Oryzias latipes: one gene and its partners. The protein of the gene in region 4 interacts with the protein of the main gene of each other region in a pairwise test. Links are inferred from orthologs where the notes say so. Each region holds a gene or a part of one and is shown on either strand. Other genes may lie near its edges.

Evidence for each region. The genes of interacting proteins can lie anywhere in the genome.
Region 1: the proteins of cep70 (region 4) and zcchc10 interact in binary tests that used the Homo sapiens proteins (3 or more experiments, as listed by UniProt). The two-hybrid records come from large-scale screens. The link is inferred for Oryzias latipes from reciprocal best matches to the Homo sapiens genes CEP70 and ZCCHC10.
Region 2: the proteins of cep70 (region 4) and KAT8 regulatory NSL complex subunit 1 interact in binary tests that used the Homo sapiens proteins (3 or more experiments, as listed by UniProt). The two-hybrid records come from large-scale screens. The link is inferred for Oryzias latipes from reciprocal best matches to the Homo sapiens genes CEP70 and KANSL1.
Region 3: the proteins of cep70 (region 4) and leng1 interact in binary tests that used the Homo sapiens proteins (3 or more experiments, as listed by UniProt). The two-hybrid records come from large-scale screens. The link is inferred for Oryzias latipes from reciprocal best matches to the Homo sapiens genes CEP70 and LENG1.

What each region holds. Positions count from the first base shown.
Region 1 is NC_019872.2:6,665,103-6,670,988, reverse strand, and holds the start of zcchc10 (zinc finger CCHC domain-containing protein 10), read left to right. Parts: upstream 1-1,852; 5' UTR 1,853-1,930; coding exon 1,931-1,971; intron 1,972-2,817; coding exon 2,818-2,979; intron 2,980-5,886.
Region 2 is NC_019877.2:19,818,638-19,824,397, forward strand, and holds the start of KAT8 regulatory NSL complex subunit 1, read right to left. Parts: upstream 4,035-5,760; 5' UTR 4,006-4,034; intron 1,840-4,005; 5' UTR 1,772-1,839; intron 1-1,771. UniProt on the Homo sapiens protein: Non-catalytic component of the NSL histone acetyltransferase complex, a multiprotein complex that mediates histone H4 acetylation at 'Lys-5'- and 'Lys-8' (H4K5ac and H4K8ac) at transcription start sites and promotes transcription initiation.
Region 3 is NC_019874.2:19,389,131-19,394,881, forward strand, and holds leng1 (leukocyte receptor cluster member 1), read right to left. Parts: upstream 4,035-5,751; 5' UTR 3,696-4,034; coding exon 3,564-3,695; intron 3,224-3,563; coding exon 3,047-3,223; intron 1,970-3,046; coding exon 1,683-1,969; intron 1,582-1,682; coding exon 1,362-1,581; 3' UTR 797-1,361; downstream 1-796. Other genes in the region: tmc4 (transmembrane channel-like protein 4), read right to left, coding at 4,718-4,771, 4,892-4,970, 5,092-5,247, 5,408-5,538, 5,628-5,751.
Region 4 is NC_019860.2:1,160,075-1,165,797, forward strand, and holds the start of cep70 (centrosomal protein of 70 kDa), read right to left. Parts: upstream 3,447-5,723; 5' UTR 3,195-3,446; coding exon of another isoform or gene 3,186-3,194; 5' UTR 3,056-3,185; coding exon 2,996-3,055; intron 2,913-2,995; coding exon 2,813-2,912; intron 2,633-2,812; coding exon 2,509-2,632; intron 1,351-2,508; coding exon 1,170-1,350; intron 1-1,169. Other genes in the region: double-stranded RNA-specific editase 1, read right to left, coding at 3,805-3,984, 4,693-4,871, 4,946-5,127.

The sequences.
Region 1 (5,886 bases), on a different chromosome or scaffold from region 4:
CCTTTCAAGCAATACTTAATTTTATGTCTAATTATACTAAGTTTGATTAGTTATTTTATAAATGTATAACTGACGATTGGATTGTTTTTTTGTGTATTATTCCTATTTGATTGCTTGAAATAAACCATTTCAAATCAAAAAATCAAAAATTATTGTTAACTATACAAAACAAAAATCAATGTCTAAAGTAGCCTGTGTTTTTAGTCAAGAATTAGAAGGTTTTTCATATTTTTTATACCGTGCAATACTTAAAAAAACAGACTTAACACATGTCTAGACCAACTTGTTATTTTATTGCTGTATATTCACTGCCCCTTCTTATATAAATAAAATTCTACTGTACTCTAATCTTCAATAATACTTTTTGTTATTAAAACTTTTGTGATTTAAGCTTTTCAAAGTTAGCCTAAATAATGAAAATGATCTTGTCTACAATAGGCATAGATTTTGCTTTTTAAATTTTTTATTCAGAGCAAATAATAATTTTTTCGTAAGACAGTCCTATGAGAAAGCTTTTTTGTTTTATTTTTTTCTTTGTTAACATACATGGTAAAAACATTTGAAATAAAAAAAAAATAAACAAACGAATTGCAACTTTAATAAGAATATGCATTGTATTTATTTTTGTCAGAAATTAGCTAAATGATGATGATAATGAGTATGAGATTAAAACAACTGTAATAATAACATAAACAAGTACAAAAACATAACAAAACATGCAAGCAAAACTGCAGTACTTCAACCCAACTACAATAGTACAAAGAATGTGTATCAATTAATTAACTTGGTAATACTGGCATCATATTGAAATTGGCAGACAATTAGGTTTTAACGTATCTGTTTCATCTAATTCAAATATATTAATTTGTTAAAATTAGGGCTGCACGATATGAGGAAAACTCGCGATATGCGATATTGGTGATTAATATTGCGATAACGATATAATTTGCAGTATATAAACAAATATCAAACCAACCAAAAACATCATTTCCATTTCAATGCAACAGCATAAAAATTATACTCCAAATGACCCTTGTCGACATAGGAGGCAAACATCAAACATAAAAGGGCTCATTTGATTGATCAACAACGTAAACGAGTCCTTCCGATTGGTTAAATGCATAAAGGGATTTATTTCATTTATTCAATATTTCAAGCTGCCATGAGTTTGTTTTAGCACATTTAACCCTTGTGCTATCTTAGATGACCCCCCCTTACAGTGACGTGTTCTTCCTACCATGACAAAGGTGGATAAAGGTGGAAAGATTTCATGTAATCCATGGACACCAGTGAAGATCACAAATCCTAGAAGAAAAAAGGTTCAGAGCACTGTTTAGTGGGTCTAGATGACCCCACTCCCAATGTTAAAGTGCTTAGGATAGCACAAGGGTCAAGGTAACCATTTATTGCGATTTTGCCGTCTTTTGCGGTATGCATATTGCACAGTTTGATGTCGCGATAACGATAAATTTGCGGTATATTGTGCAGGCCTAGTTAAAATCCATATCAAAATGTTGAATGTACAATCTTGCTGCTGCTAAAAAAGAAAATACATTTTTACATGATTTTTCAGTTTATCTACTATTTTTAACACTAAATCTGAAAAAGTACAAACTTTAACTCATCATCTAGGTAGTTTGTATGTTTGCTTATTTCCTTATTTGTACTATTGATGTTGTAACTGTGTTGAATTATTAGAACCACTGAATATTATTTCTACTTAATAAATGCATTAAATTAATTTAACGCATTTATTAATAAGGAAACTATAAAGAATTTTTGTTATGAAAATTTCAAAAATAGTGGGAAAAAATGAACATGACCTTAAAAAGCTTTATCCGTTTTTACCACTGGGGGCGCTGAATACATTAACTTTTCCGGAAGCTCGTTGTGAAGAAACACCACAGAAGAAGTTGCATCAGATTTTAACATGGCTACTCCTATGCACAGAATAATTGCCAGGAGACAAGCGTGAGTATGTTTTCGTTATCACAACGTTACTGATTCCATACCAAATTTATGTGAAGACAACATATCGATAAACATAAATTACACTTTTTTGTTGGGTGCAATATCCTATAGAAGCGGTAAATAACGATTATTTCACTGTTTAAAAACAGTTAAGATGCTGCGCTTCTTCTTTCGCTGTTCACACTTGTTTTCCGCCATTAACGCCCCAAACTAATTATCGATACAACCGCACACGTTCCTGAGGATTTTAGTAGACATTAAGGGGCGGAAAAACTACATTTTGTTTGTGTACAATCTAATAAAGAACGAGCTTACTGCATAAAAGTTGGGATAGAATTCAGTAGTTCGTGAATCGTTGATGGCCTCACCGACCGTGTTATGTTCACTTACTTGGGTAGTAATCAATTAATTCAATAAAATTGGGTTTAGTAAGAATCTGACGCAGGAAAAAACAAAATTTTCAGGACTTTTATAAATCCTTTTCAAAATATGAGATTTTATCAGTATCCACTGTAATATAAAATATTGAATTTTTCTTTTAGTTTGGTTTGGTTTACTTATGCCAAAATTGTTTTATGAACCAAATGGATTTGTAGTGGCCTTTTTTAAAGTGGAAAAAATCAAATTAAATCTAATTGTGAACTTGGAAGCTACTCTGCCTCAATATATATCATCTTCATATTTAAAAAGAAAAATTCAGAGGTTCAACCTCCGTCACTAAGATCAATTACAAACATTTTCTTGTGAAAAACTATCAAGTATTTCCAGGTATTTATGGATTTGGCCCATTTAACGTACTCCTTTTGTAGTGTTGAATCTGAAACCTCTTTTTTTTTTTTTCTACAGGGAGGCAAACAAACAGCATGTACGATGTCAAAAGTGTTTGGAGTTGGGACACTGGACCTATGAATGTACGGGCAAAAGAAAATACGTCCACAGACCATCAAGAACAGTTGAGATGAAAAAGAAATTGAAAGAAGTCGAAAATAAACCACTAAGCATTACTGGGTAAGGTCACTTATTCTTTTCTTAAATATCCTAATTGTATTCTTTCTTAAATTTGAATTTAACCACAAGGGGGCACAATTCAATGCTTTCATGTGGCGAATCCCAAGTCTGTAAATGCTGGAGGTTGTGACTGTATACAATATGAAAAACATAACCAAATCCAAAAACGGAACCACAGACAGAACTGTTCTACCAGATTGGCTGTAGAGCGGTTGGTGAGGTGTGCTGTAGGTGTGACCGAAGACTTCAAGGTGGAGGTGGGACTGGACAATGGATCAGCTTGAACTCTTCATTGTTTGATGTGATGATGGACAGACTGACAGACGAGGTTTAGACAAGAATCTCTGTGGACTGTGATGTTTTCAGATGACACTGTGTTCTGTAGTGAAGGAACATCTAGAGAGGTGTAGGCTTGTTCTGGAAAGAAGAGGAGTGAAGGTCAATCTCAGAAGGACAATGAGGAGGATTCTGGTGAGATTACAGGGAGCCGGGGTGAAGAAGATGGACGACTTGAAGTATTTAGAGGTCAGCAGTCCAAAGCAACAGATTGAGGAAGGATTCAGATGTGATGTGTGACAAAAAAGTTTCAGCAAGAATGAAAGGAAAGGTGCAGAAGACAATGGAAAGAACAGCCTTAGTGTTGGTTTAGACTAGAGCAGGGGTGGGCAATTCCAGGCCACGAGGGCCGGTGTGTCTGCATGATTTCCAGATACTCTTGCCCTACTCATGGCTGATTACCTGGTTCAGGTGTGTCCAGCCAATCAGAACATGCCAGAGCAGGGTATGCTGGAAAACATGCAGGACTGCGGCCCTCAGTGCCCACCTCTGGACTAGAGCATGGTTGTCAGAGTCCAGGGGGGTATTCCAGGAAGCATGTTTAAACTACCCTGACTTTAAGCCTGAACTCTGGCTGAAATCCGCCTGAACTTGCTTACTCTGGGTATGGCGGTTCCAAAAGACCGGATATGAGTTGGCGTAATTACGCTCGACTGGGTAACCCTGGGTTACCGCACGTGCACAGCAGGTACATAAAGACATTCTCAATGGATCGCCGATATCCCAAGTCACCATGGAAACGCGTGGAGAACAAAAGAGAGCGCTATACTTCAGTGAGACGGAGTCTGAGATTTTAATGACGGCGTATGAAGATTATACGCCCATCAAAAAGTAACACGGCTGCATCAGCAAAAGAGAGTTTCTGCTTGGAGAAAAAGAACGGAGAAATAAACGCACAAGTTTCTGATCTTATTTAAAATGACATTGTGACGTATATAAATAAAACTTATCGAACTTAAAAAAATTGATTCAAATGGTAACAAGTGATGGAATTAAATTTATTCAACCTAATTTCTTACGTCTATAAAACTCTAATTGTTTTTAGAACTCAAATTTACATAGTTATCTAACTAAATGTCATATTACTCCAAATCAATTAAATGTTTTTCCATCTCAATTTATGGTACTTCTTGAACTCTCATATGTCTAAGTTAGAGGCTGCAGATTTTCTCATTTCTATAACATTAAAATGAATGACATGGTGTGAATTTACAATATATACCATGCCTTTAATTATCATGAGTCTGACTGTAACTTCAGTTCTTAGACTGCACTCTTGTACTAGTGCTGCTAAATAACCTCATCCTCCTCTCCCTCCCTCTCACTCATGGTGCAGAAAGAATTAAACATAACAGGATAAAATAACACAGTAAAACAACAAAACACATTTGGTCAAAAGAAAGGTGTGGATTCTGACACCCCTGGTTGAGAGACTCTGACAAGAAGAGCAAAGATGAAGATGTTGAGGTTCTCTTTGGAGGGAGGAGGATGGATTGCATCAGGAATGAAGTGATAGTAGAGCACATGTGTCAAACTCAAGGCCCGCGGGCAAAATGTGGCCCGCCGTGTCATTTTATGTGGCCCGCGAGAGCATACCACTTTTTCATTTCTTAAAATAAAAAAAGGCGTATAATTATTTATTTTTTGGAAATAAGTGTTGAGCTCCAATCTACACTATCGGATCTCAAAGACAAACCCATCTCTATTGAGCTATTAGCCCCTTTATAATAATGAAACGATTCAGCTGGGTCGTCATTCGGAGCGGGAAAGTGAGAGCGGAGCAGTCCATCAACTGACTGACTGACTGACTGCGCTGGACACTTGTCTGCCCTGCATGCCGCATGACTCCCAACGAGAAGCTGATTGCGCAATCCGCTTTCCAGCATTGAGCCCAATTAATTTGAACGCGCAGAACGTTGAACATCGCACACGAGTCATCCCCCTTTCCTCTCCCCACAATCACGGTGCAACAAAAGAAGCAAACATAACAGGAAGAATTAACTAAGGGTGGAACAACAAAACTGATGGATGGAAAGAAACGTAGGCAACAAGAAACACCCATTCTCAACCCTATTCTGACCAGTGGACCGCATCCCACAATCCCCCGTGCAATACGTTGGGTCTGCTGGAATACCCACTATCCCCCGCGCAGTTTAATGTTTGCAGGTCTGTATGCAGACAAATTGTTGTCATCAAACAATCAGTTGGATGCAAGGCTGTGTGCAGCCTTTGTTTTTGTAAAATGTTGCTTGTGTCAAAAAAGTTATTTCTAGCTCAGTTTTATGTTATTGTATTTTTACTCACTTGGACAGTTTGATCCTTCATTAATGGAGTTATGTGGGTTTTAACAAGCAGACAATATTTTAACAGATTTATGCTAGAGTAACAAACAAACATATGTTTTCTTTGCAACTGTAATTGTCACTTTAAAATGTTATAATAAATAAATGAGTTATTTAACATTAAGGAGTAGTTGCATTCATTTGTCATTACATTTAGTTACATGTGTGAGTTATATCTGGCCCTTTGAGGACAACCACTATGCTGACGTGGCCCAAAATAAGTTTGACA
Region 2 (5,760 bases), on a different chromosome or scaffold from region 4:
ATTTTCTAAGGCCCAGTGTGTAAATTTATATTAAATGAAATGAATACTTCTTTTACTAAGCAGGTTTTTATTTCCTGTCATCTTTTCTGGCTTCTCCTCATCTCACATATTACATTTAGAGTATAATATTGTGTTTAATTAAGTGGCAATCACTGTTACTTTAGTGACCAAAACTTTACTTTCCCCACAATTTGGTTTAAACCTTAATTTTTATGTTCGGGTTTTCAGGTAAGTAGGTGATTTGTATATTAAACACCAACAAAAACTGAGAAAAAGGTCTTCTTTTAATTTGCTAATAAGCAAGTACCAGGTTCAGTTGGCTCATACTAAGACTGGTGTAATGAAATAAAACGTTATTAAATTGAATACATTTAGCATAACTCGCGTATTGGACACTTTTACTGTACACATATGCAGTAAAGATGCAACTATTTACTTTTTCACAATATGATAAAATGATGTGAGATACGGATCGATTTTAAACCAAAACTTGTGGTGTAACATTGTTTTAGATCAAAATGGGAAACTAATTATGAAATTTAATATCTTCACCTCATTAAAAAGTTATTTTTTAGGTACAATGTGTTTGCGCCATGTTGGTTTTATTTTATTTTGATGTAAACTTAAAGTTTTCTGTTATTTTCACTGCACTTCGAGCATGACATTATTCCAGTCTTTATCACTCTCCTAATGTTTTTTTTAGTATAATTACAATTTAGCACTTAAATTTAGATCTGTTACTGTTTCAGTTCTTAGGTGTTTTTAAACAGAACTGTTTCCTGTGGTAAGTTAAAACAAGTCACTGATGAAAATTGTGTTTTTGGTGTTTTAATGTGTTCTTGTAGCATTTTTCTGATGATGGAGGACATAAATTAGTATTTCTTTATTTCAAATCATTGTGAATCAGGAGCAGATGAAAAAAAGCCCACAACTCGGACAAATTTCTGATAAACTCCTGCCACTGTGCAGAAACTACGTCTTAGAAAATGACACAGGTTTCTTGATTTTGGCTAAAAACTGCCTAATCATAATGAAAAGACCACTGGGAATGCTTTGAAAGTACATCAAAAGATGATTGAAGTGATTTATCCTTCACAAACTAAGTTCATGATGGAACGCAGTTTTTCATCTTTAGCTAGCGCTTCCTTTTTCTTTTTTACATGTTGTGACTTTTTTGGTCCAACATTCTCACATTTATCTTCTGTCATTTAAATAAACAGCTCCTAATCACTTCCTGTGCTCCAGCAGGTTTTCCCATGGATGTCTTGTTAAGCATGAGATGTTTACTATGTTGAGTTGTATCCGCTCTGCCTCCTAAAACCTTAAGCGTCCGTGTGCGCGCATGTGAGACTCATAGATAGAGACCACCTAGAAAACGACTGTTGGGGAAAAATAATGACCCCAAACCTTAAACAAAAGCAACAATGTCAGAGTCAGAGTGCATTTTTCTAGGCTAACATGGAAAATGTCAATCAGGCTACCACTGCATCTAAAGACACCAAATCTATTAGCTTGTCCTGATATCTGCCTGTGGATTCCAGCACATTCTCCACAAAACTCCAATGACGTCCAGTAATTCTCCTTATGCAAAGCATGTCAACAGTTTGGTTCTGAACAACCTCTTTGAGATGAGCCTGGACCAGAGTCACTCAACTCATTTGAGTTTCTTATATCCATAAAAAAAACAAATCTTCCAGAGAATGGGTCTCCAATCCCCATTTGCTTTAGTGAACACTTTAAAGAAAGAAGAAGAAAAAGAGTTTAGAAATACCTGTAACTCCATTGTTGGTATAATCCACTCAGTAATCCAAAAGGTCATAATCCAGTCCCACCTGACGCCTGAAACCAAGTAAAAAGAACAGTTAATGAGAAAAGACGAGACATATTTTCCAATTCCACATTAAACTACTTTTTAATCACAAAGGGGAATTTAAAACAGTATTTTTTATTAGTGGAGGAAGGTTTTTAAAAAGCAGAGATGAGGTGCATCAGTTTATGAAGGTGTGTTAACTTTAATATTATTAACTTTATACCTCACTGCAAAAGTTAGATGCTAAATGTTTTCAAGTCCAAATCCTTTGGTAAGAGTCTGATCATGTGCCGATTCAAAGATGTACATTTCTTTGCTCTGCATACTGTAGCACTAGCATGACGTGGTAGGAAAATAATACTGGCTGCTTTACCTAAACTATCCTTCTAAACATTAAACTCTAAACATTTGTGGCACTGCGAAAAGTGCAAGGAGACAACTGTAACACTTTTTGAAATGAGCCTTTCTTCAGGATTTTTTATTTTAACCTTTGATTTAAAGATGTGAAAGCTTTCTGATTTCCATTAAAGCACATTAAGTTGTATAGCTACATCAAAAGAAATGAACCCTCTGGTTGCTGTTTATATAGTTACCGTCATAAATACCTTACATAAAAAACTGAGTTACTGAAATCACAGTGTTAATGTAATGCGTGAAGTGTAATGTGTCTTGTTGCTGCTTCATTCTCATACAATATGCTGTTAAAAAAAAAGAAGAGAGATTTACTGTTAAAGCGGATTCAGATGGACTTCATTTTGAATTTCTTTTGCATTCAAATGCATTCATTTCTTAGCTTCTTCAATATTTTAATTTCTTATGACTAAAGCTTTTGTTCAATACGCCTTTTTTAAATTTTGTAGTCACAAGACCCCAGTTAAGCAGAATTAACTACTGCCGTAAGAAAACCAGAAATGTGACGCCCACGCATGTGGACGCCAATTCCTAAAAGGTTCAATCTCAAATTAATTTGCTCAATTATTCTTTAGGGTTAAAAATAAAAGCAGCGGGTGATGCAGAAACAACAGCTTGATGTGATCATAGCAACTGTGATGTTTTACAGCAGGTTGCATTGCTTCAAACAGCAATAGATCTACCATGTTGGCATTTCAGCAGCCGGGGAGCTTCAGAGCATAGGTATTAAAATATATTTAATCTGTGTAAACATTCTTGTATGAAAAAATCTATTTACAAATAGTAGCTGTAGAAATTTTTATACAGTTTAAGGAGTTGATAGCTTTTTTTTTTTTTTGCTAACGTTTTGCTCTGTTGATTTTTGTTTTTTTGTTTTAATAATTATATTTCTTTTTACAACACATGGGGGGGGGGGGGGTACATGTTTACTGATGCATTTGATCTGTTTTATATAAAATCACACTTGCATATATGTTGTATACAAACTACTTAATCACTTTAGTTTGGTTTCCCAAAAGTTTGACTGTTTAAAGCTGCTGCGGCACTAACGAACCGGTTTTGTTTGTTTCCATGTTTCCCCTTCATTTTTTGTTATCTTTACAAGGTTTCGTACGGCATTCATTTTAATTCATTAGATCAAGTAAATAACATAAAAGAAAAAACACGAGACCATTTGAAAACAAGGGCAAGTTTTGACTAATAAAGTTATTTTCATCTTCAATCCGGAACTGGTTTGTAATGTATTCTCCTGATCAGAAACAAAGTCATAAAGTTTGTACCACTCATCAGTTCAGTATCGTAATCCAACAGAGTAAGCTAAGGCTAGCAGCCTGACGTTACCTACTACACCAAGACTGTTGCGGAAAATATAGGAGCAAAAGTTTTGCATGCTCAGAAATGAAAACACCGGGCTCGAAAGTTCAAGCGTAAGCAACTAGTGCAGCTCCATTAATGAGCACGGCCTCAGTGAAGGAGTTGTCATAGATTTTTCTTTTCCTAAAACACAATAAACGGCGGCTGCTGCTGCTAGCGCTGAGAGACTGGCCAATAGCGGCTAACCAGCTACAACAAGGCTAAGCTAATAAACGTTAGCTTGTTTGCTTCCCGATCCCTCACTGAGTTTTCAATGACTCTCGTTTTCGTGCACGTCTGTCGGAAAAGTGACCATAAAAAATGAACCTACTCTGATCAAACGTCCAAGGGTTAAACCACATGAGTGTTTTTTCCTGACAAGCACAGTGTTTGATAATTTTAAGAAAATAACAAGGCAAAATCTTACTTACCTGCTTGTCCTGTTACCAACGACCGATAACATCCGCCCCCTGCGCTCCTATTGGCCAAAACTTGAATTCGAGGATTGCTATTGGTTGGCACGGCTGTCAGTAACAGCAAATGCCCGTACAGCGGAAATGTGGATGAAAGTTCATAGCACGAAACTTCATTATCCAAAAATGATTGTTTTCAATAAAAATGTCCGTTTGAGTCACATAGTTTCGTCATTTTTTAATATATTCCTTATTTTTAATACCACAGCACAAGTGTTGCTTTCACTGCACGCTTGCTAGCAGCTCTCGCAGTAAACACACACACATATGTATTCATTGCGTTGTTTTCCAGACTTTACACTGAAATGTGCAAATGATTTTTCAAAAGCAGATGCAAATAAAAACAAGTCACGTCAAAAGGCAGATATCTATTTTCAAAAACGGATTAAATGTGATCAAATTCCTTGCACCCAAAGACGTGAGTGTGAGATTTGACTGTCCTGTGTTACCCAGTCAAAAGCAGGCCATAGAGGACAATAACGGATAAATACTGTTAAAAACTGCGTTTTAGGCTGAAGTTAGTGATGCATATGTGCAGCCAACAGGACCACAAGTTAATTCACATCAAAATAAGATGCCTTTTATGTAAATATTGGGGGATAAACAAAGAGTTACAGTGGGTAGTTGTTTTTAGTTCATCCAAAGTGGCTTTACATCAGTAGGAATATATAGATTTAGCTTAACAGTAATTAAATTAATGGATAAATGAACAAATAGAAAGATTTTGGTCATCTTTTATCCCAAACTGTTCTCATTTTATGTAGAGCCCCTGAAATGTCAACAGTTTTCATTATTATTTCTATTAGATTGGAACAGTAAAAGAAGAAGAAAACTAAATTGGGCAACAGAGAGAAGAGAAGTACCATGTAAAATCTTTAACCTTTAAGTCATTAATATAAATAATTATTTTAGAATGGTAGTCTAGATAAATTACCCAAAGTAAACTAAAAATGAATGAGGAAAGGTAATTTAAAAAGCTACAATTTATCCAAATAAAGAGTTTAATTATAGGGGAAAGAGGTTGGAACTTCTATTTATTGCTTTGTTAATCCACCATTCCAGTAATCCTGTAGTAATAAAAAAAAACATTACATGCTATTTATAGGAACACACATGTATTATTTTTTAACATTTTAGAAATTTAAATCTAAATAAATAAACATACACTCAGATTAAGAAGGTCACTCCAGGCCTTCTCTCAATCCTTCTGTGATTCTTGATTAGAGGTGTTCTTCAGGGTTCAGCGTTTGGGCCTCTTGTGTTGCTATGAGCTAAATTCTTTACTTACTTCTATAACATTATGTTTTCTTTTTCTTGTGCACCAAACTTGTTTTTCTTCCAATTCTTCTTATTTTGCTCCTACTGAAAAGTAAAATGTAAGATAAGATGACACAGGCACATTTTAAAGCTGGATGCTGAATTGTTAATGTCTGAGTCAGACTGTGGTTTAGGTTTATCTCAAGGACATCTCAATGATGCTAAGCCGATCTATGTTTTAGCTCTGTGGTGCAAAAGTGACATTTAATACTCCTTGAAACTTGGAAAAATATCTGCACATTCAGGAAAAAAAAGGAAAAATTTCCTCATTCATGTTTGACAAAGTGTTGTTGAACCTTACAGGCCCAGATCCCAGATTGTGACTGCACCTCAACAGGCTCCATAATATAAGCAATACATGAGATGAAATCATCCGGTCACCTCTTCCTAACCTGA
Region 3 (5,751 bases), on a different chromosome or scaffold from region 4:
ACCACCACCACCTCCTCCTCCTGTAAATCACAGATCTGCAGGTTGTGTTGTCTCCTCCGCCTGTCTACGTCAGACAGACACCGCGCGCATTGTCATGCTCCTGCTTGGTCATCCTGAAGCTGGAAAACACACAGAGCCCATCATATTCCCACTGGGAGCTAATAGTGTGTCAAATAAGGCTCAGCGGTCGCTTTAGAATGATTTCACACCGGATTATTAAATCAAAACGATCGATCCGTGAATTAAGTTATCATGCCAGGACTTCTGCCTGTTGTCACATTTGTAAATAAAAACGTTTTAGGGACAATGAAGACCATTTATTGTGCCACCAACCTGATATGATCAATATAAATCTAGATATTTTACAGCTAAAGCCAAATGTAAAATGCTTTTGCCATGTCTGGAACAATCTGATTGGATTTATTTTAAATTATGGAATAGATCTATCAAACCCATTTGGCATATAAAGTAATAACTTGATTAGAAAATAAAGAACTATATAGACAATATATCACATTCATTTATTCATACAACAGTCACAATGGGCTGCAATAGAATAAAATCTTCATTCAGAAAACCTTATGGAAAAGCACTAAAACTACAAGTGTAATGATTCCTTTTAACAATTCTTTAATGTATTTTGTGGCAGACGATGTGATTCATGGTCCATATTGGTTCATTTTGACTGATCCGATTCACCAGCCTAAAATCAATCCAGGACATCTTTATCTTAAAATTCAACCAGTGTGACTCGGAGAGAAATGCCGTACCTGGATCCTGAACAGAGAAGGTGACATTTTCCAGATCCATGTCATCCATTTATTTGGAAAGTCTGTAAATCTTTTTTCTAAAACATACAGAAACATGTTCACAAAGAACTGCATTTTCCTTTTATACCTCACAACTAAAAAAAAAAAAAAAAAAAACTAGCCTACAAAGATTTTAAATCACATTTTAGGACAAAACTGTGTTGTGGCTCAAATACAACCTCAATATTGACTAAAGGAAGCATCTAAACAGTTATTAAAATGTAAAAGAGGCTTTTTTTATTGATTTGTCATGTTGGAATGAATGATTTCAGCACAAACTTGTCCATTTTTACAATGATGTAAGCCAGCCGAGCAGTGGTTTAGGGTTTTTCTTCTCGACAGCCTGTGCTTCAGGCCCCCTGTGATGGCAGCCATCTGCCCTGCTGATGTGCTCATGAGTGAAAAGGCGGCGGGGGTGGAGAGAACTGCTGTTGGACATGACCTCTAGTTCCTGCAAGACTTTCCTTTTATGGACAGAACAGGACAAATGAAAAAAAAAAAGTCATAGGGAATCCTAACCATCTGATTGTAAAATGTTCAGAATAATGAAACTCAAGATTTGAGAATCTCATCTCTCCAGCTCTCTCTGTCTCGCCTCTGTCGTTTTCGGGCAATTTCTGGGAAGTAAGCGTTGTTGTAAGGCCGGTCCCTGTCGTCCATTTCTCGCGTTGCATCCTTCCTTTTCCCACTCCTCTGCTCAAGCAAAGCCTGGGCTCTTCTCCTTTCTTCAGCTTCCCTTTGTAAGCGTTCAGCACGCAATCTTTCCATGGAGCTGAAAAGGCAAAAAAAAAACAGAAAACACCATAAAAAAACAGTGTTATTATGTAATCAACATCATTAGAAGGACATTCAAGCAACCAAAGTCTTTCTTACCTTTCCCCACTGCTCCTCTTTTCTCCCTTGTCTCCTCTTTCCTTTTTCTTGCTCTTGTGGTGCCTCCTTTCACTTTCCCCCAATGCTTTCTTCATATCTTTCAAAGGATCCAAACTTTCCTTCAGCCTGCGGTCTTTCTTCGCCTTTTCCTCTTCAATTATGCCCTTCCTCTTTTCCGATTCTTCTTCTTCTTTTTCTGCGCTGCTTTGCATGTACCATGGAGTCACCTCAGTGCCTGGTTGGGGGCCTAAAGAAACAAGCAGGCCGATGGCTCGCTCTTGCTTCTCCTGGACAAACCAGAGTAGCTATGATCAATATTTAAAATATTCCATTTCAAATAATTGTATTGGAGAATAAAAAAAACTGTAATAAACTCCATTGCCTTTTCATGCAAATTGTTCTTTGTGTCATTTTTCCTTCTCTAATAGATGACTGAACATTGTTGCATAAAAGTAGAATCAGAACTTCCTGGTAAAATAAAAATCCTGACAGAGTCTGATGAGATCCAGCTGCACGTTTTTGCCACTGTAGAATAAGAAACCACAGCAAACCAAGTGTATTAGGTGGGGAAAAGTGGATGTTTACCTTTTTAAATTAGCATTACTGATTTAAAAATCAACAAAAAGCTGCAGAGTGCTACTCATTTGCAACTTGTAGATGAGCAACCTGTTTTTTTTCTTTTGAGTACAGTGGTCCCTCGCTATATCTTTCACGCTCTCGCTGATTTTTTTCATATTTCTTTTCATTGATTTCTTTTAACAGCTCAATTTGTTCTGCATCCTGATTGGTAGTAGACTTTGTCAAGTACTTTCCTCCAAGCGGTGTCTCCTGTACAGAATGCGTTTAGCTTGCCAAATATCTAAATCTTCAACCACAAACAGATTTTTTTGTTTTATTCTATAATACATGACTTATTTTACTACAAATGTTTGAACTTTAAGAGTTTAAACATGAAACAAAGTTCCGTTTTACAGCCTTAAAACATCTCGAATTCTACTTTGTGGATTTCACCTGATGTGGGTTATTTTTAGAAGATAACTCCCGTGATAAACAAGGGAAAACTAACTGTCAAGCAAATGCAGTCTGGTTGTTAAAAGTGTTCATTCTTTGAATGCAGAATTAGAATGAGAGTTTCAAACATGAAAAACACAATAGTTATAGTATTTTATGCACACAAACAAAAATAGATGTTAATCTGTGCTGGATCAGACAATCAATTTCCTGGGATTTGTACACCATTCCTCTCCTACAACAAATGAAAAGAAAAAATCCATAAAATGGACTTCCTAAATTATTTTTAGTGAGTGTTTACTCAGATAAACCTGTAATTTTCAGAATATAAACAGAAGTAGCAGCACAATCACCGTTTCCTCCTTCTTCTCTTTGAGATACTCTTCATTCCCCTTCTTATCTGAAGACTCCTCCAAAGGAAAAAGATTGAGATGCTCCACATGTCCTCCGCTTTGACTCCCATCATCTCCTGTGCTTTCCACTGATTGGAGACCAGCTCGGGCCTTTCTTCTCAGATATTCTGTTCGCGCCTGTGGAAACAAACCATGACAATTTTTGCATGTTATGAAGTTTGAATCTATTTCAGATTATCAACACAATAAAAAATAAACATCAGCTCCATATTAGCGATGGAACAACACACTTTCTTAATGATAGTGTTCAAACCTCAATTTTGTATATGATTTGTGAATAACAACCCCCCAAAAGGAAAGGAAAAAAATACATATAATCTACTCAGTTGCAGAGGTTTCCAACTCATTTTCAGCTCAGAACCAGCTAAACTGTCACGTGATCTGTTAACGTATACTCTGCCAGCACGAAACACAGACAGATGTAAACACAAAAAACGAACGGTAAAACTGAACATACTTCTTGCTCCGCGCGCTCCACGCGGCGTTTAGCCTCGCGCTCCTCTTCTGCAGCCTGGGCTTCGTCCCTTCGCACGCGCGCTACATTGTCTTTATTGCGGACATGCCAGCTTTTCTTCGGAAGGATATTCATGATGGTGTTACTGTTAGCAGTTAGCTAACTCAAAATTTAGAGGAAGAACAGACCCGAGCCTTTGATCTACAACAATATGGAACGCGAATCAGCCAGGTGACTGAGTCTGATATGATTAGTAAAGCAGAAATTAGCAAAAAATCTGCGCAATTGTCTAGATTTTAAAACATTAGCTTACATTTTTTCTACATTAAGTTAGCATTCATGACGGCAAACCTGGCTCGTTAAAAGCACAGTATTATTTTTTTTAATATCCTAAGGTCTAACAACAAACAAATCTGTCCGACTTTTTGGAGAGTTCATCTATTCCAGGTTTGCTGTGGTCCACCGGAAGTAGTAGACCCAAACAGGAAGTAAACAAAAAAAGTTACAACTCTTGAAGCAATTACAAAGAAGAATCGTTAGATGGAGCTGGAGCGAGCGCCAACTGGTTTATTCAAAAGAAATAAATGTAATGGTCATAAGCGAGCAAGACTAAACTTTAAAAAGCAATAAAAAAAAAAAAAAACAACAGCAAACGAAGGACTTCTCATTAAAAAAATACAAATAAATCACAACATTTAAAGAAAAGAATATAAAAAGTTTGAATACATACCGTAGTCTCAAAAGGGTCAAAAATAAACAATTATTTTTGGTTGCTCTCGTCTTAACAAAAACACTGTCCAACTGTCTTGTTTTTTTAAAACAGTATTAGAGGTTCAATTTTTTTACATGCATTTCTTTGCAAAGTCTATATCCAAAAATGATCAAAACACCTGTTTAAATGATCACTTTTAAAGTGCTTAAAGAACAGTGATGTTTAATGTGCAACATTTTTAACATTTTATTTTGAAAGAATCTGGTGTAATTTCACTATGTATATATAATATGAAGCTTTTTTTTTCTTTTTAATAAACATCCTTTCTTTATGACATCGTCTCATGTTACTGTACTGCAGAGACTAAACATTGTCCAGAGGCTGTTTAGTCTTGTAGTGGTAGATACAGTATATATATGTATCTATCAAATGGTATCTTGGTCATCTACCGACTTAGTTCCTCAATCTGCTTGACTAAGAACTGCTTATCCCGGCTCTCCTGTAAAAACAAAAAAGACCAGACCCTGTATTAGTTAAAGTAAAAAAGGAAATATTGAAAAAAATCTTTGTTAACTCATGGCCAATTCTTAGTATACTGCTTTAGATACCATCAACTTACCCGTTTGAGCTGCAGTCTTAGCAGTCCAACACTTTTCCCATAGATGGAGAACAAAGCTATGACGTAGCACATCACCAAACTATGACGGAGAAACAAGTCAGCTGGTAAAGAATCAACTGGCATTCAAAGAAAAATATCATCTATATCTGCACAGTGCAAGACAGTTCAATGATTTTCATGTAAAATGAAAATGGATTTACCCCGATAATGAAAACAGGGGGATTGTAAACGCCTGTGAGCCAATGAAGAAAAGAAACTCTTGTGTGGCTGCAGAGAGGTTGTAGAAAGATGTCGGTATAATCAACCACATGTTGTCAGAGAACCGGAAAGGCCCACATCCCCGAGAAGGATGGATCCTGTATGGACAGACACGGAACGTCACTCAGACATAATTTCATAAATCTCTACAAAGCCATCGCCTTTTTTGTATTGCGACAAATTGGCCAAATTTTGACTTTCTGACCAGTAGGAAAAATAATTGTATTATTTATGTTACCAAGAAACATCCACACTCACACAGCAATGCTGTAAATCATGACAACTGAGGCCAGCATCCAGCCTAAGAGCAGTACCACCAGGAAAAAGAAGGCTGAGGTGGTGGAGCGAAACGTTTTTTGGGGTGGCCGACAGTTGGAGAACAGTGTTATCTGTTTAGGAAAGTGGCAATAGAAACAAGTAGATTATCAAAAAGGAATGAGTATGATGAAACATTCTGTCTATTGAAGCTGAATTTCACCTTTTTGCAGTAAAAGAGGATCACAAACTTTACAGTGTTGATGAGGGGCAGCAAAGGGCAAAACAAGGCTCCAGTCCAGACCACCGTTTGGCTGTAGACCAGCCCCAGAACATTGGAAGAAACA
Region 4 (5,723 bases):
AAGTTACGTAATTTATTTGAAAAAAAAAAAAAGAAAATTCACGACATTCATTTGGGACGATTGCATTCAAATAACAGAATTTACGTAATTTTCTTTGCGAGGTTCGCAACCAAAGAAGATCAAGTTTACGTCGTTTCTATTCGATATTTGCAAACAGACAACATTAAAATTGATGTATTTCTATCCTATGTTTATTTCCAAATATCTGCGTATTATTTGATTTATTGTATGCAATGTTTACAAACAAATAACATAAATTTCACTGAAATACCATCAAATTTACGTTATTCGTAAGCAAATTTCCCAAACAAATAAATACTTAAAATCGACGTTATGAAGTATATTTAACGTTAAAAATTTTCTTCCAAAGTTAATTTTTGTATATGATCATTGCTACAAAAAATGACAAATGTTTATGCAATATTTGGGTATAATTATTAACGTAAAATGTACGTCATTTGTAAACAAATCCCATCCAAACAACGTAGATTTGGGGTATTGGATGTTACCATAGCAGCGTACATTTGTGTCAGGAATGGGAGGTCCAAGCAAAAAGTGTCGAGTCACCGATTCTACTGCTGGATATTCACAGTCGTCATGTCAGTGACAAAAATATTTTACAAAAGAACACAGTAGAGTTCGCTTACTCCCTATACGACTACAACTGAAGGTTTGTTGACCTTTGACCCGAGGAAGAGACCACCATCTTGAATGTTTCGTAAAAATCATCTTTAGGAGCAGCTACACATTTAAACTCCTAGAAAAGAAAAAAACCTTTAAACTAGAAGTTTTTGATTTAAGCATGGATCAGCTATATGAATATATTAAGAATGTGGGCGTGGTTTAAAAAACAAAATCGATCGAAATACTAAATGGTTGCTATGGAGATAAAACAAACCAAAAAGCACCATTGTGAAAAATGTTTTTTTAAGGAAAGTGTCACATCTCATGACGTCGCAGCTCTGATCAGGGTATCAGGGGCAGAGGGGCATGTAGAAGTTGATTTGTCTCTTATTTTGAAATCTGTTTGAGGGACAGCAGTACTGGGAGAGTAGCTGCATTTCAAAATAAAAGGTTTCATTGAATTTTGTTTTTTTTATGCTGAATTTCTACGGTTTTTGATGAAAACTGGGAAGTCAGATGAATGAAGGCAAAGATCAGGGACTGACTATGGCCTCTGCGCTGTGGCGCTGCAGCTGCAGCGTGCGGCTGTGCGTCTGCGCAGCCCTGCAGATGCAGCGGTCCTCCAGGTCCTGGACCTTCACCTTCACCTGGTCCAGCAGCGCCTGCAGCTCCGAGGCCCTCTGGGAGTGCTGGGCGGCGCGACTCATCTGCTCCTGGACCTCCTCCCTGGAGAAAAAAAATAAAGAAATAAAAATAAAAAAAGACCAACAGGAGAAAAGCCTCTGTTTTCCTGACTCCGCCCCCTTTTTTAAGGCTTCATTCCTGCTGGACAGAACTAAAACTGACATTCAAAATACTAAAATGATTATTTACAGATTGATTGATGATTCTGATCATTTTAGTGTCAAACTATGAATAAAAGGTAAATAAAAGTAGTAAAAAATATATTTTAATATCAATTTTAAACTACAAGTTAAAACTGGTGGTAAATAAATGTATATATATATATATATATATAATTTAAGAAATCCATTGAAATTTATAAATACATAAATACAATAAAATATTTCAAAATAAGAGCATGGATTTATCAAACAAGAAATTACCAATAAAATACTAAATGACAAAAAAAAAAAAAGTATTAACATGCCGAGTATTTTTTCATTTTAGTTACATTTGACAAGCAAACAAAAAACAAGTAAAACCTAAAAGTAAGGATGCCTGATTTCATTTTTTTAAAACCATTTGTTATTTCAATTTGAACTTTATTCAGTTTGAAATCCTTCTATAATAGTTTTTCATTTCCCATCATTAAAACTGTATTTGTTTTTTTTTAACCTTTTTAGACTTTTGTAGAATAAATAAAGTTTTTCGGTATTTCATGCAAAAATACATCATTTTTAAAGAAATGTAAATATTCTTTAAACCAATTTAAATGTTTTTGAGTTTATATGAAAGTTGATGGGTTTAGTTTTATAAGGAACTTTTACATAAAACCAGGATAAACAAAAGTCTAACAGGAAGTGCGGATGTTTGATCAGAAGTTGACAAAAGTTGGTTCTGCCGTCTGTCAGTCAGAGCTCACGGTTCCTGACAGGAGATCCTGATCCTGGATCTCACAGAGACATTGTCCCTGAGGGAGCCGTCCTCCCCTCAGCTGATGTTCGCCAGTCGTTTACCAAAATAAAAGCCTCTGTGTGATCGGATGGGATCAGAGATGCGGTTGCCACGGTTACGCTTGGACAGCAGACGGGGGATTGGATAACAGGACAGGTGGTCTGCAGACGACCAGACCTCACTGATGACCACAGAGAAACCTGAACCCCCACAATGCTGCAAAGGGGGGGGGGGGGGTCATCAGTCAGAGCTGGGGGCGCCACTCACCGGAGCCGGTTGTTGGACCCGACCAGCTCCTGCAGGAGAGCCTGCCTCCTGTCCGAGTCCGCCAGCAGCGTCTCCAGAGTCCGCCTGAGCGCCGCTGCGGACTTCCTGTCCAGCAGGCCCAGTTCTGGAAGCACAGAGGAGCAGGCAGGAACCAGATCATCAATTTAGAACCAAAAATGGATTCTAGTTTCTGTTTAGTCCCAATAATGCCGCATTTGCTGGGTTTTTAACCAAATAAAGGCAGCTTTGGACCATTTGGGTTGAATTTCCTGCTGGGCGGTGACGTCATCACCTGAGCTCTCACCTGCAGGGTTCTTGTTCTCCACGGGGTCCGCAAAGAGCACCGGCCGGAAGCCCCGCTGCTGCAGCAGCCGGTTCAGCGGCTCCCACTCCGCCTGCTGCTCCTGCGACACACACACAAACACACAACCCGGGTCAGACCGCCCGGGTCAAAGCGGGACCCACCTGGTTCCCACCGCGGCGCTACCTGGAACTGCCTGCAGGTCCACAGGTAGACAAACGTCCCATTTCCCCCCGGGGGCCGCATGTCCGCTCTGAACCCCAACAACCTCCACTCAACTGAAAACGCTCGTGCTCTGGCGCGCGCGCGCGTCTGAAAACTGAGCCCCCCTCCCTCCTCAGTTTTCAGTTACCAAGCGGAGTGTCACGTGACTCACCTGCAACATCCCGTCAGTCCCCTGGAACAGAACCGCTTTCCTGAATGAGAACCGTGGAAATGCCGGTGGAAAAGGTTCGGTTGGACTCTCGGCACCGTTTCGAACTCTCCGAATAAAGGAACCGAACCAGTCCGGACTCCGTAGAAACCTCTGAAAAGCACTTCAACAGGATAAAAACAACAAAAATCCTCTTTAAAACCCGCCACGAACACAACTGACTGTTTGGGGCTCAGATTCAAACCGTACGTGATGACGTCACTAAAATAAGCCAATGACAGACAAGATTTTTTTTAATGCAACTTTATTGAACAATTTGTTTCGCTCACTCACGTTTTTTTCCTCTTCATTTATTTATAACATTTCAACATCTGAGCGTCAAAGCTTAACAGAACATAAAAAAGATCAAACATTTAATTCTTTTTTCCTCCTAATAAACAAATGGTCTGAATGATTTCCATGTACGAGGGCTCCCCTCCTGCAGGTGGCGCTGTTGCGTCAGCCAGAAGACTTTGCACATGTCAGTCAGAAACAAGGTAAAACTGAGGATATCCATTTTTGGACTGCTGGGTCTGCTGCCAGTCCCGTCTCCATGGCAACCAGGAAGCTCATCTGAAAGGAGTCAGGAGCTGCTCAGGGAGAACCGGTCCTGCTCTGCGGGCTTCTTGACCCAGATGCCCAGTCCAGCGTCAGCCAAAGCTCTGTAGAGCGTGTGCTTGGCGGAGCAGTACTCCTCGGCCGCCCGCTTAGCCTGGTGGTAGCTGCTGGGCGGCGGGGCTGAGACCCGCAGGAAGGAGGACAGCTACACGGACAAGAAGACGGAGAAAAACTCTCACTTCTGCTGTCAGACCAAAGAGGATCCTCCTCATATTTAAGGCTTCACACATCTATAGCTTAAAAAAGGAGTTTGAGGCCTCAAACAAAGATTTAGAAAGTAAAGTGTGTATTTCTGTCTGGGATGAGGTTGTGGAAAAGCATCAAAATCATTAAAAATGCTTTTTTTTTCTCTCAAACTGAAATGTTCATGACATCACCAACATCTAGTTCATTTGAGCGTTTTATACGACTTTATATAACCACTGAAAACGTTAATGGTTTATTAAAAAAATACATTTATTTCCCCCTCAACAAAAATTGTTAAGAAGAAATTGCATTGTGGACTATATTATACTTATACTGGTGAGCATCAATGGACAGTGGTTGTTTGCAGTGACTTCTGGGAAATTTTCAGGACTCTCGATTTTGAAATTGTAGATTCGGACAGCTGTACAGAATGCTGCTTGAGCTACATAGTGCATCATTTAGATGTAGCCTAGTATTTGTTTTTTTTAGCTACTTAGTTTGATAGCAAATACAATTATTAACTACTAAGCTAATAAGGAAATATTTATTTGGGTTATTAGCAAATTAGCAAATACTATTTTTTGTTTTTTTAGCTGATTATCTTTTCAGCAAATCCAATTTCTTATTTAGCTAAATAAAAGCTAACATAATGCCAGCATCTGCTCACCCTGCTGTGCAGCTGCATCCAGCGGCAGTAAAAGGCGCGTTTGCAGAGTCTTGACGGTCCACCCATTTCTTCTTTCCCCGTGGTGGAGTCAATCACCTCCACATCGTCGTCACCTGCAGTCCAGTTCTCGCTGAAGGGTGGAGCTCTTGCGGGCTGCCGGGCCTCTGGGTTACTTATTCCTGCAGAACCAAAGTCAGGGAACTTTGATGGAGGCCGTGACCCAAGAACCGGGCGTTTCCTGCATCTGTCTCACCGCTGAGCAGCGGCCGGTTGAGGCAGAAACCTGGCGGCAGGCCCTCCAACGGACCGATCCTGCCGTACATGGCCCTGGACATGTGCGCAGCATGGTACAGGCTGCCCACGATGATGCTGGAGAAGTACAGCGGCTCGGTGAAGTAGCTCATCAGGGAGCCCTGGAACCCCAACACGTTCCACCTGTACCTCACCAGAGACGCAAGAATACGATTTAACGCAATCGGAGACATCCAAGTTACCAACCACTAACTCATAATGATTGACAGGTCAATCGTTTACCCTACACCTGCATTTATAGAGTAGCGGTTTTATAAAAGTAAAAAAACAAACACACGACGGTATTTTATTCACAAATTTTTAAGAATTTATCATGAAAAAGTTTGATAAAACAAATAAAATTTAAATTTGACGGAAATAAAACCAAAACCAAAGAAGAAAAAAAACAACAAAACTGGAATTAACCAACAGAAGAGGAACAGATCGCAGAAAAAGCGCAACGAATGTGAACATGCTGAAGGGGTCGTTCTTTATGGAGCCCTGCCCCCGCTATTGCTGCCCCCTTACAGGCCCCGCCCTTATAAGGGAGCAGCAATAGCACAAAAAACAGGGGCCAGAATCTGAAAAGTAAAAAAAAAACAGGGACTAGTTTGAAAACAGGGATAACTAGATCCCTAATCCCATAAAGAATCCCAAAGTTCCATTAGCAGCTAACAATCCGCGTGCTTTTATTGTGAAAGTGTTCCCCTATAACCTGGAACATCAAACCAGAGTTCCAC